Schizosaccharomyces pombe: one gene and its partners. Changing the gene in region 2 together with the main gene of any one other region gives a genetic interaction. Each region holds a gene or a part of one and is shown on either strand. Other genes may lie near its edges. The genes, in order: otg2, gmh1 and otg3.

Region 1 (4,045 bases), on a different chromosome or scaffold from region 2:
ATTCAGCAAAAGAATTAGTGAAATCAAGACAAATTTTGAGCGAAGTAGAAGCCTGGTATGTAAGCGTAACCGCTTAAAGAAATTCATATTCTATAAAGCAAATTTTATCGCTTTCCGCAACTTCGTTTATAGCTATAAAATCCCCACCAGAATAATAAAAACCCTAGGATTATAACTGACTATATCTCGTTAAGACTTGCTAGGTTTAATACAATAAATATAATGTAGTTTGTATTATTGAGTTTGGTAGTGGCTGACTACAATTTAGGAGACTAAAGGTACGATGTAATGCGTACGAAGTATAGTTTTTCATGTAAAATTTTAAGATTATTTGAGTTTACAGTACTTGTTATTTGACATTAAAAGGTTTAAAAAATTTATCAATTACTTGCTATTGATATTTTCTATCCCATCTTCACTCTATCTAAAACCAAGCCTTCTTTGATATATATATTTAAAACAACTTTTAAATAGATTTGCTACCTAAAACATTTTCAAATGTCTTATTGAAATCTAAAAATGAAAAACATGCTAAGGATACGTATGCTCACTAATTAGCAATTTTTATATAAATCCGTTGGTTTTCCTTTGGTCAAAGAAAAAGCATTTATAACATGTTTGCTTACAATTTTAAAATTGATGATAGGACTAACACTTGATTCTTTACACTAATTAGGAATTTTTTAAGAAGGAGCAAAATTTCTTGAAACCATTGAACTTTCAGTGAGTTTTAAACATACGTGATCTAATTTGCATACAGAGAGGAAGCTATTTTTTTGATTATGGTTTACCTGTATCCAGAATCCCATCGATCGTGTATATGAATTTGAATAGTATAGTGGTTTTAAAAAAGGACGGAGGAAACACAAATTATTTTAGAATGACTGTAAAAATGAGATAGCCTTTCAACAGTACGTGTTGTCAGCAATACATTAAATGAAAATAACTGCTTCTTAAAAGTCAAAAGCCGCCTTATTTTTTACTTGATCACGACATGAAAATTGCTTTCATCTGTTTAATATAAATCAGCATTACGTTGTTGGTCATGATACGTTTGCATTTCTTGAAACGCATCCCACCATAGCTTGGATGTGTCTTCATCATAACCTAGACTTCCTTCTGGTTGCCAATGTTTTCCATGAACTGCTTTTAGATATGGTAAGTCATTTTTTCTAGCCCAAAGTCCGTTAAAAGTCCAATCAAGTGACTCCCATGGAAAAGCACCTGCTGAATTGTATGCAAAATTTAGCAAACTTTGCTCCATCATGTTTGCATTATCATACAATTTTGGAAACCTTGCTAATGCCATTAACCTTTTATAATGTGCCTTCAATGGCTTAAAGACGAATAGACCAGCATTAAAATAATCTTTAAAAGGAGGAGGAGTTTCATGCCACATACCTGGATCGGACACAGCAGCGAAAACGTAGGGATAAAGATCGTCTCTTGTCAGCCCGTAAGCTGCAAACTCTTCTGTAAAGCGTCTCCAAAAAATGCTGCGCCTAGGCTTGTAGAATAGGGTGGGAGGAAACAGAACAGAATCCTTACTATAGGAGAGTTGGTGAACATCAAAAACTTTGTCCATTTTTTTAATAGGCAAAATATCACTATCAAGAAAACATATTCTATCATATTCGTACATTTCGAAAACTCTCAACTTGGTAAACATCATACTCCATCGGGAATCCAGTAGGGCAATGTCATTGACATCGTCAACCACTTCATGAGCATATAGTGGATCGACTACTTTAACAATAGCTCCGTCTTCCTGCAATTGATCAAGCTTCCACTGATCAATTCCCTTCATGGCTAGCACTACAACGGGATACTTGCTTTTCGTAGGTTTAAATTTGACAAGTCGGTGAACGAGAAGCCTAGTTGAATTATAATACCAATCCTGTTGCGTATTTTCTACTTCGTTTTCCCCATTAGCGGCGCGTACAGTAAGCATAGTTACAAATGCCATCTTAGAAGAGGGCGCCAACCCTGTCAGTGTGTAAACTGACCTTTGTATTTCTGGACTATGATTGTATAGCAAAACACATTGCCAACCTAATAAAATAATGCTCAAGGTAATCAGTAAACACAGTCCTAGTCGTTTGGGATGGCGAAAAGCACTAAAATATAAACGCATTTTAATGGCAATTGATTGCCAAATTATAAAATGGTGGTGCTTTCGGAGAGAATTACTCTACATACTCCCTTAATGTTTGTTGGTGCATCATACACATTTTGCTTACTTTCAATACCAAAACAAACTCAACACCCTGAAAAACAAATAACATAATTAAATCGACTTTATAACGTAAAAACATCAAATGTTTAAAAATTAAACAAGCTTACTATTTTAACTATAAGAAATGTTAAGATACATGACTCTGACTTAAAATTTTCTCTTATTTAATAAGACGTTTAACCTAAACCAATTATAGTATAATACTAAATAGTTACCGACAAGCTAAGCTACTCAAACTATGTCGAAATGGGTGAATGACGAGATAAAGACAGTTGCTTCCACTGAGGGTTAACAGCCAGTGTGAAAAAAGGATAAAATAACGGTGACTTGAAAAAAGGGCTATCGAACAACTGTTAGAAATTGTCCGGATTTTTTAGGTTATAACAATTGCTTAGGGAAGCAAATTAAGACGGGAAGCAATATCCACTTGAGTACGTAAGGTATTTGCGAGATAAACTACAACCAAAACATCTTGAAGATGTGATGAAAAAATTTTTTCAAAATCTTGGCCTTCTACGCAAGGAATTAAACTAAAGCACTTCATCAAATATCTACCGACAGCAACATTAGCAGGCGAAGAACCATCAATTACGTTTTGCACATAATCGGAAACTCTTTCAATCATAGATAAAAGCTCCAAGGTTGATCTTCGAAGTTGCTGGAGATCTGTGAATAGGCTAGCAAGTCTAGATGGGTCATTCTTAGGAGCAGCTACAGCTTTCAAACCAGAACGGACTGCCTCGTCATCACGAATGGTAAAAGGGGTAGGGACGAATGCACAGCTGTCAGCAAGGCGCTCTGTAATACCTACTGGTGAAGAAACGTAAGTCTTGATGGCAAGGGGACTGCTAACATCTGTGTTGACAGTAAGGTGAACACAGGGATGAGGATACGTTCCTAGTGGAGCAGTTCCGGGTTCAGCAGGAGAAGCATATAAATTTTGAATCAGTGCACTGAAAGCATCTAAATCAGGAGAAGTAGCATACCAACCAACGACAACTTCACGAGGGTTAGCCTTGAGGTGTAAATGGTACATCGCACGATGATATTCCATTTCAACTTCTACCTGCTCACTGCTCTCATTATGAGGAACTGCAAAACAACTTTTAATCTCAATTTCTCGGCCATCTTCAGAACGTGTTCCCAAAAGTGTACCGATAACACGTTGATTATTTTCACTTTTCCGGGTTGAATGGTCAAGGATAGAAAAAAGCACTGCTGGTTCAATGACAATGTTCAAAGGACTTGACCTGGAAGACGGTTTTGTGAGATGGAGTACGTGCTTAGTCCCCAAAGCCATTTTTTAAAATTTTCACGTTGTTGGCTACTCTCAGGTAGGTAGATCTGGTATTGTTCCCCAATCAATAATAATTTTACTGTACTAGTTTACAGTCTCATAGAATTCGTTAAATTGAAGACACTATTTTTCGCCTAACTTCTAAGGTTTACCATTTAAGAAAGTGTATTTTCAGTTGCGTTGAATAATCTAAAAAATCTCCTTAACAATGTCTCATTTGTACGTACAATAATGAGAAACTCTTTATTCAAAATTCTATAACTATTTACATTTGTACATTCTCTGGTTAAAAATCATTTATATATATATACAATGTTCAAAAAATTCGGTTAGCAAAAAAGTGTAAACATAAAACCCAAAAAAGCAGTTTGCTTTTTCTTGACTAATAATGAACAGTAATTTAACTCATATCAGCAAAAACAGAGCACTCACGAACATGAATACCATAGGAAGTAGGAACCTTCGTTTCTTCATAAGCACTTTCTAGCTGAGAACCTCCACTAGAAGAAGTA
Region 2 (4,184 bases):
GAAGAACATTGATGATATATTTGATACTCCTTATATGTACCAACAAATTAATACCTTGAACTATACACGGCTACCTTCCTACACGAAGCCTGATGATGATACCGTCTATCACTTCAATGAGGATTTTAAAGAATATGGTGCCAGTCGAAGCGAATTTTACCCTTATCTTCTCGCAGCCGTCTCTGATAGAGGAGAGCATCATAGTATACCTCCAGAAGATACTCCTTATTTCAATGCTGGCTTAATGCTTATACGTCCAAGCGAGCTTCATTTTAACCGTATACTTAAAATCGGAAGGTTTCCTTATATGTATGAGAATGCCAAAATGATGGAGCAAAGCTTGTTGAATCTTGCATTTTCCTTGGACGGATGGTTTCCCTGGACTCGTCTTGATCCTTATTACAATGGCGTGTGGCCCTCAATTGACGAACGTCCTCTCTTAAAAACAGCACACGGAAAATTCTGGAATATTGGTAGCTCAGAATTTGCACCAGTATATTTAGCTGACTGGTATGCTGCTTATGGCGAAATGCTGTCTTTTCATAAGTATGAAACTCATTAAAGGAGGAATACCTTTCTTTTTTCTGTATTGTGACCTTATTTTACAATTAGAAGTTAAAATCTAATTGTATGTTATATATTTGAAAATTTCTTTAACTTATTACCATAATTTTATTTTAGACTTGCTATCCTTATTGTCTAAACGCACATTGTTTAGATCTCTTCAGCTTTCTTTGATTGCTGGCTATGTATACAACTTTATTACCTGCGTCTGTCTATAAATCCCGTTAGCGGTGATTTGCTTTCGGTCAGCCTATTTTTAGAATATAATTTTGGACTTGCGGTTGATTTTAATATACCTCTCATCTCTCCTTCATTATGGACTCATTAGACCTTATGAACAAACCCCAATTTTAATTATTATCACAAGCGTTTAGCAATTTTTGATGCTTAAACTAGCCTGAGGTCCAAACAGGATAGTTTAATTAGTGTTAGACATTAATATTTTTTAGAAAAAGATACTTTATGTCTAGAGGGTTGTTTTTGAAGCATTTTATAGAATTTATTCTTTTTTAAGAAAATTAATTAGATTTGTAAAAATGTGCAGCTTCATAATTATTTATGGAGCGAATCATTTATGTTTAAATAAGACGGCATTAATATAACGAAGTAAAAGATAAATAGTAATAATAAATTAACTGTAAATGCAATTGAAAATGTTAGAGGCTATAACGCGCCGACACTTGGGCATTGATTTAGCCTTTTAAATTATTTTATCTTTGTATTTAGTCCATAACTCGGCGCATTTGTTTTCAACCCAACATCCAGCGAAATGAAGAGCTAGATCTCCTTCTTGCCATTGCATTGTAGGGGGTCCTTCATGAAAAGCATTGATAAATCTTTGAGGAAGAATGCCAACCATGGAAGCTACCTGCGAGTGTTTTTGAATGAAATAGCCGATCAAATCTTGTTCATGACGCACGACTCCTGCATCTGCCAAAGAAGGATCAGTCAATAAATCCATTAGTAAAGCGATGGATCTTGAATTTCGTACTAAAAAGCTTCCTGCATTCAATCCGTTATGATCCTGAGAAATTAGAAATTGTATTTGTTCTATCATTTCCTTGGAGTAAGCCGCTGGAGTGATTCTGAAATTATCTTCTCCGAAAGAGTTTATAATTGGTTGCTCCCTAAGCAATGATTTTTGGAGCATTGCAGGTGAGAGAAATAATTCCTGTAAGGACAGATTTTTGTTCATTATAAGAGCATCCTGATCTAGCCACCAGATCCATTTTGCGGATGGATACTTGCGCATTGTTTGTAGAATTGCGGGCATCTTTCCCCATACAGGTGGCACTACCAGACTGGAAACGTTAACGAATTCAAAATTGTAGTTTTGAAGTTTCGCATACTCTATACGATTTTTAAAGCAATCATCTAGTAAGTTAGATTCAAAACTTCCAACGTTTCCATCGCTAGCAAGAAGCATTACTATTTCATGTGATTTTGGTTCATTGAGATCTTCGTGATTAACGGTTGCTGTATACAAAGTTGTGCTTCCGCCGATCAAAAAATTATCGAGAGATGTCACCGTAGTTTCATATTGAAGTGCAGGAAGTTTAAAATCAAAAACAGAAATCTCGTCGTGCGGAATAAAATATAGCCCGAAGGCAAAAAAGGTGAAAACTATAGCCAAAGCTAACATAATAAGCTTCCTTTTAGTCAAGGTATTTTTTGTAAAAAAGGAAAGCATTTTGTTTTGTGAAAGAGTGATTTGATCTGCAAATTAATAAAAGAGTGATTCGTTGTTTCGGAAAACTACGTTTATAAAATTATAGATTATGCTCAGGTTTTAAAAAATTGATGTTGTTCGTAAAAAATTGAAGCCTCTGAAGATATAATGTGTAATTATCTGGACTTGAACATATTGAATATTTATGACTGAATAATTATCAACGCGGCTTCATTGCATATTGACATCACAATTTATCCGTGGTGTAAATTTAGGTTGAGTTAAGCGAGCTTTGAACTAGAAAAGTAAACTCAACGATGAATATTCTTACAGGATTAAAACAAACTAAAAATTATTTCAGCAATACATAAGAAAATCTCCGACAAGAAGTTTATTATTTGTTCCGTTATTACACTTTCGCGAAACAATATGTCTTAAAACGTACAATAAAGCTTCCAAATATTTTTCAGGTAGTATCAGTATTGTAATTCTTAAAATGTTGGAAATAATTATTGGAAAAAAAAAGTCGTCTAGTACTGGCTCTTTACTTCGCACCTGTAACAAGTTGTTTGATGACTAAAAAGGGTCTAGCGAAATTACCCGCTGTCATTCACTCAACCTTCTTGGTATCCAAAAATTCTTTCGAAAATGGGTAGTCTATATAACCCTTAGGACTCATCTTTGTATAAAAAGTTGCGCGGTCCCATTTGTTTAAGGGAAGGTTATACTTGAGTCGGAATGGGAGATCTGGATTTGATAGAAAATACCTCCCGAACGCTACTAAAGTGTTTTCTTGTTCAGCCATTTGTATGGCCGAGTCTCGGTCATGTCCACCTGCAGTGATAAATGGATCCCCCCAAAGGTTTTTGTAGATCAATGTATTCTTTTCTTGCGTTATATGCACATGCCCATTCCAGTATTGCCTAGGTTCGATAGCATGTAAATAGGCCAAATTAGGAAACCTCTCCTTTATTTTTTTTATCATAAACACGTGTGCCTCAAAAGAATCCTTGTCTTTCCAAATATCTGAAAACGGAGAAATCCTATATCCAACGCGCTCTTGACCTATGGCATTCACGACAGACTCTAGAAGTTCAAGGCAAAATCTAGCACGATTTTCTAAAGACCCACAATATTCCGGATCACATTTGTCACCATAGCCGTTTAGTACAAATTTGTCCAAAAGAAATCCATTCACTTGATGAACTTCAACACCATCTGCACCACAACCGAAAACAGCTCGTTTCGCTGCTTCAGTATACGTTGTGATGTGTTCCTGTATATCTTGTTTTGTCATAAATTTATCGACATACAGCTCCTCTCCACAAATAGAGTAGGCACTGCCTAGAGCAGCAGGCAATCCGGTAGGATCCATTGGGCATTCCCCTTGTGTAACTTTTTCCAACCTTTCCTGATCTTCAAGATAATCGACCTTTAGCTCTCCAGGAAGGTTCCAAAACTGTATAAACACAAAGCAATCATTGTCATGGATCGCCTGTACAATTGGTTTCCAAGCTTCTACATGTTCATCGTTGTACAAGCAAGGGATATTACTAAAGCCTCCCGACTTTGCGCCTGAAAATAATGATTCTGTAATGAGTAATGTGCCAGGAATCGAACTGCGTTGCTTGTAGTATTCCTTCACAAGATCTGTCATTACAAGGCCATTATCTAAGCATCGTAGACGGGTAGCCGGTGCGTGAACCATTCGATGTTGAAGTTGCATGTTACCAACCTTAATGGGCTGAAACAATTTACTCTGCGATTCATATAACTTTTGAACAGCCATCCTGGTGTGTATCAAAGAAAAGAGCAGACCTGATGGAGAATTTTGATCAAAAAAAATTTATTAGGTAGCGCTAAAGACGAAAATACCTTGAATATCAAAAGGAAAATAATAAAATTGAAAACTTCACAAAAGAAGTGAAGATCTTATAAATCTTTTTGTGTA
Region 3 (4,310 bases), on a different chromosome or scaffold from region 2:
ATTGTTGTTAAAAAAATTATCTAACGATTATGAAGTATTCAATTTGGCCATGACCCTAGTGTTCATACAGCTGCTACTTTAGCTTCTGAAATGTGTTATCAAAACAAAAATATGCTTAGTGCAGGTTTAATTGTTGCTGGATATGATGAAAAAACTGGGGGAGATGTTTACAGTATTCCGTTAGGTGGTAGTTTGCATAAGCAACCTTTAGCTATTGGAGGAAGTGGTTCTGCTTTTATTTATGGATTTTGCGATGCTAACTTTCGCGAAAATATGACCCAAGAGGAGGCTGTTGAATTTTTAAAGAACGCTGTTGCTTTAGCCATGGAACGCGATGGCAGCAGTGGTGGTACCATTCGAATGGTCATTTTAAATAAAGATGGAATGGAGCGTAAATTTTTTGCCATTGATACTGCTAACCCTATTCCCGTATTTACTCACTAAGTACTTCACGTTTCCTTTTATTTTACGTGACTATACTGATACCCAATGCTTATGCTAGACTTGACCTTATTAATGCCTGTCTCATTATTTGTAGCTTTTGGAGTGCAAGGTCATGAAGAAAAGTTACTTTTCTGGTCAGTGAGATAAGTCTTTGTGATGATTAAAATAGAAAGATTTTTTATAGTTACAGTTAACTACCGAAGTGTAGTTATATTGTTGATAGTGAAAGAATATTATTGTTATGAGTCCTATGTAATTGTCATAAGAGTAAAAATGTTGTAAGATGCCTGCAAGCACATTTAAAATTTTGATTATCAGCTTCATACAAGAAAATTGTAATCAGCCATGTAAAATATAAAATTAGTCCGAACACCGGTAGACCCTTCTAAAGAAGAATAAAATATGATGTGTCTTTTTTTGTTTAAAATTGAATGCAGAAATTATGTGAAAAGAACAAACTTTAACGGTAAGAATATACACGGTGAGATATGTATTAAGCTCTTCAACAGGTACACCGTAGTTACAGGTCAAGGAATGGAAGTGGGACAAAAAAATAATGAAGCATGAAAACATTAAAGATAAACGCCCCCCTTCATTTTTTATTCTACAACATAGTCATGAAAAGCCAGCAACTCTCCGAACGCTTTATGCCACTCGGCAGTCAAAATTTGGGGAAACTCCGTGTTGTCATATTCCCAAAATTTACCATGAGCAGCACGAAGATAGGGTAAGTCCTCTTCGGTGACCCAAACTCCATTATATGAAAAATCGAGCCTCGTCCAGGGAAACCAACCATATTTATTATAAGCAAGATTTAATAAACTTTGTTCCATCATTCTAGCATCGTCATACATATAAGGATAACGTGCTATCTTCTTAATCCTATGCATATGAAGACTACTGGGATGAACAAGCATCAGCCCGGCATTAAAAGTTTCAGATTCTTCTGGGGGCGTCGCATGTCCAGGGTTACGATCGTCACATGCGCCAAGAAGATATGGATAGAATTCTGAGCGAGGAGCACCATAGGCATCGAAATTGTCGCTAAACTGATAATCCTCTTCATCATCTGGCTTCTTAAAGATAGGAAAGCTAAACATATCGGGTTCTGCAGGAGATTCATAAACATAGGGAGTATCAAAAATGTCATCCATGTTTTTCAATACTAGGAGATCGCTATCCAGAATGCAGACCTTATCAAACTGTGTTTGCTCAAATACACTGAGTTTTGTGAACATGTATTGATAACGATAACTGCCCATGCCAATAGACAAACCACTTTCAATTAAGTCTTCAGTTTTAATTTGATCGACCATAATTATTTCGGCCCCATCAAGTCGCAATCGTTCAATTTTCCATTCATCAACCCCTTTCATAACAAGGACATGAACGGGATATTTACTTTTCGTTTCAGGATGATGTTTCAGCTTGTATACTAGTACTCGAGTAGCATTGAAGTATACATCATGTTCTGAAGTAGGAAGGGTAAGTAAGCCCATAAATGTATACCTTTTTAAATCATCTACATTATCGTTATAATATGGGCCATGCTTATGAAGCCCAAATTCATAGGCTGCCGATGAAATTAGCGATCCAGGAAATGCGGGATCCCGATATATTTGGATCCCTAAAAGTAAACCCAAATTCAGCAAAAGAATTAGTGAAATCAAGACAAATTTTGAGCGAAGTAGAAGCCTGGTATGTAAGCGTAACCGCTTAAAGAAATTCATATTCTATAAAGCAAATTTTATCGCTTTCCGCAACTTCGTTTATAGCTATAAAATCCCCACCAGAATAATAAAAACCCTAGGATTATAACTGACTATATCTCGTTAAGACTTGCTAGGTTTAATACAATAAATATAATGTAGTTTGTATTATTGAGTTTGGTAGTGGCTGACTACAATTTAGGAGACTAAAGGTACGATGTAATGCGTACGAAGTATAGTTTTTCATGTAAAATTTTAAGATTATTTGAGTTTACAGTACTTGTTATTTGACATTAAAAGGTTTAAAAAATTTATCAATTACTTGCTATTGATATTTTCTATCCCATCTTCACTCTATCTAAAACCAAGCCTTCTTTGATATATATATTTAAAACAACTTTTAAATAGATTTGCTACCTAAAACATTTTCAAATGTCTTATTGAAATCTAAAAATGAAAAACATGCTAAGGATACGTATGCTCACTAATTAGCAATTTTTATATAAATCCGTTGGTTTTCCTTTGGTCAAAGAAAAAGCATTTATAACATGTTTGCTTACAATTTTAAAATTGATGATAGGACTAACACTTGATTCTTTACACTAATTAGGAATTTTTTAAGAAGGAGCAAAATTTCTTGAAACCATTGAACTTTCAGTGAGTTTTAAACATACGTGATCTAATTTGCATACAGAGAGGAAGCTATTTTTTTGATTATGGTTTACCTGTATCCAGAATCCCATCGATCGTGTATATGAATTTGAATAGTATAGTGGTTTTAAAAAAGGACGGAGGAAACACAAATTATTTTAGAATGACTGTAAAAATGAGATAGCCTTTCAACAGTACGTGTTGTCAGCAATACATTAAATGAAAATAACTGCTTCTTAAAAGTCAAAAGCCGCCTTATTTTTTACTTGATCACGACATGAAAATTGCTTTCATCTGTTTAATATAAATCAGCATTACGTTGTTGGTCATGATACGTTTGCATTTCTTGAAACGCATCCCACCATAGCTTGGATGTGTCTTCATCATAACCTAGACTTCCTTCTGGTTGCCAATGTTTTCCATGAACTGCTTTTAGATATGGTAAGTCATTTTTTCTAGCCCAAAGTCCGTTAAAAGTCCAATCAAGTGACTCCCATGGAAAAGCACCTGCTGAATTGTATGCAAAATTTAGCAAACTTTGCTCCATCATGTTTGCATTATCATACAATTTTGGAAACCTTGCTAATGCCATTAACCTTTTATAATGTGCCTTCAATGGCTTAAAGACGAATAGACCAGCATTAAAATAATCTTTAAAAGGAGGAGGAGTTTCATGCCACATACCTGGATCGGACACAGCAGCGAAAACGTAGGGATAAAGATCGTCTCTTGTCAGCCCGTAAGCTGCAAACTCTTCTGTAAAGCGTCTCCAAAAAATGCTGCGCCTAGGCTTGTAGAATAGGGTGGGAGGAAACAGAACAGAATCCTTACTATAGGAGAGTTGGTGAACATCAAAAACTTTGTCCATTTTTTTAATAGGCAAAATATCACTATCAAGAAAACATATTCTATCATATTCGTACATTTCGAAAACTCTCAACTTGGTAAACATCATACTCCATCGGGAATCCAGTAGGGCAATGTCATTGACATCGTCAACCACTTCATGAGCATATAGTGGATCGACTACTTTAACAATAGCTCCGTCTTCCTGCAATTGATCAAGCTTCCACTGATCAATTCCCTTCATGGCTAGCACTACAACGGGATACTTGCTTTTCGTAGGTTTAAATTTGACAAGTCGGTGAACGAGAAGCCTAGTTGAATTATAATACCAATCCTGTTGCGTATTTTCTACTTCGTTTTCCCCATTAGCGGCGCGTACAGTAAGCATAGTTACAAATGCCATCTTAGAAGAGGGCGCCAACCCTGTCAGTGTGTAAACTGACCTTTGTATTTCTGGACTATGATTGTATAGCAAAACACATTGCCAACCTAATAAAATAATGCTCAAGGTAATCAGTAAACACAGTCCTAGTCGTTTGGGATGGCGAAAAGCACTAAAATATAAACGCATTTTAATGGCAATTGATTGCCAAATTATAAAATGGTGGTGCTTTCGGAGAGAATTACTCTACATACTCCCTTAATGTTTGTTGGTGCATC

What was found.
Region 1: mutations in gmh1 (region 2) and otg2 impair growth when combined (synthetic growth defect), as found in Schizosaccharomyces pombe (one study listed by BioGRID).
Region 3: mutations in gmh1 (region 2) and otg3 impair growth when combined (synthetic growth defect), as found in Schizosaccharomyces pombe (one study listed by BioGRID).

The regions. Positions count from the first base shown.
Region 1 is NC_003423.3:3,120,271-3,124,315, forward strand, and holds otg2 (alpha-1,3-galactosyltransferase Otg2), read right to left. Parts: upstream 2,179-4,045; 5' UTR 2,135-2,178; coding exon 1,016-2,134; 3' UTR 501-1,015; downstream 1-500. Other genes in the region: alpha-1,3-galactosyltransferase Otg3, read right to left, coding at 1-87; tif306 (translation initiation factor eIF3f), read right to left, coding at 2,628-3,536; cytoskeletal protein Syp1, read right to left, coding at 3,934-4,045.
Region 2 is NC_003424.3:162,798-166,981, reverse strand, and holds gmh1 (alpha-1,2-galactosyltransferase Gmh1), read right to left. Parts: upstream 2,255-4,184; coding exon 1,265-2,254; 3' UTR 647-1,264; downstream 1-646. Other genes in the region: alpha-1,3-galactosyltransferase Otg1, read left to right, coding at 1-562; SPOM_SPAC5H10.10 (NADPH dehydrogenase), read right to left, coding at 2,844-4,022.
Region 3 is NC_003423.3:3,118,184-3,122,493, forward strand, and holds otg3 (alpha-1,3-galactosyltransferase Otg3), read right to left. Parts: upstream 2,343-4,310; 5' UTR 2,175-2,342; coding exon 1,044-2,174; 3' UTR 654-1,043; downstream 1-653. Other genes in the region: proteasome core particle subunit beta 1 Pre3, read left to right, coding at 36-444; alpha-1,3-galactosyltransferase Otg2, read right to left, coding at 3,103-4,221.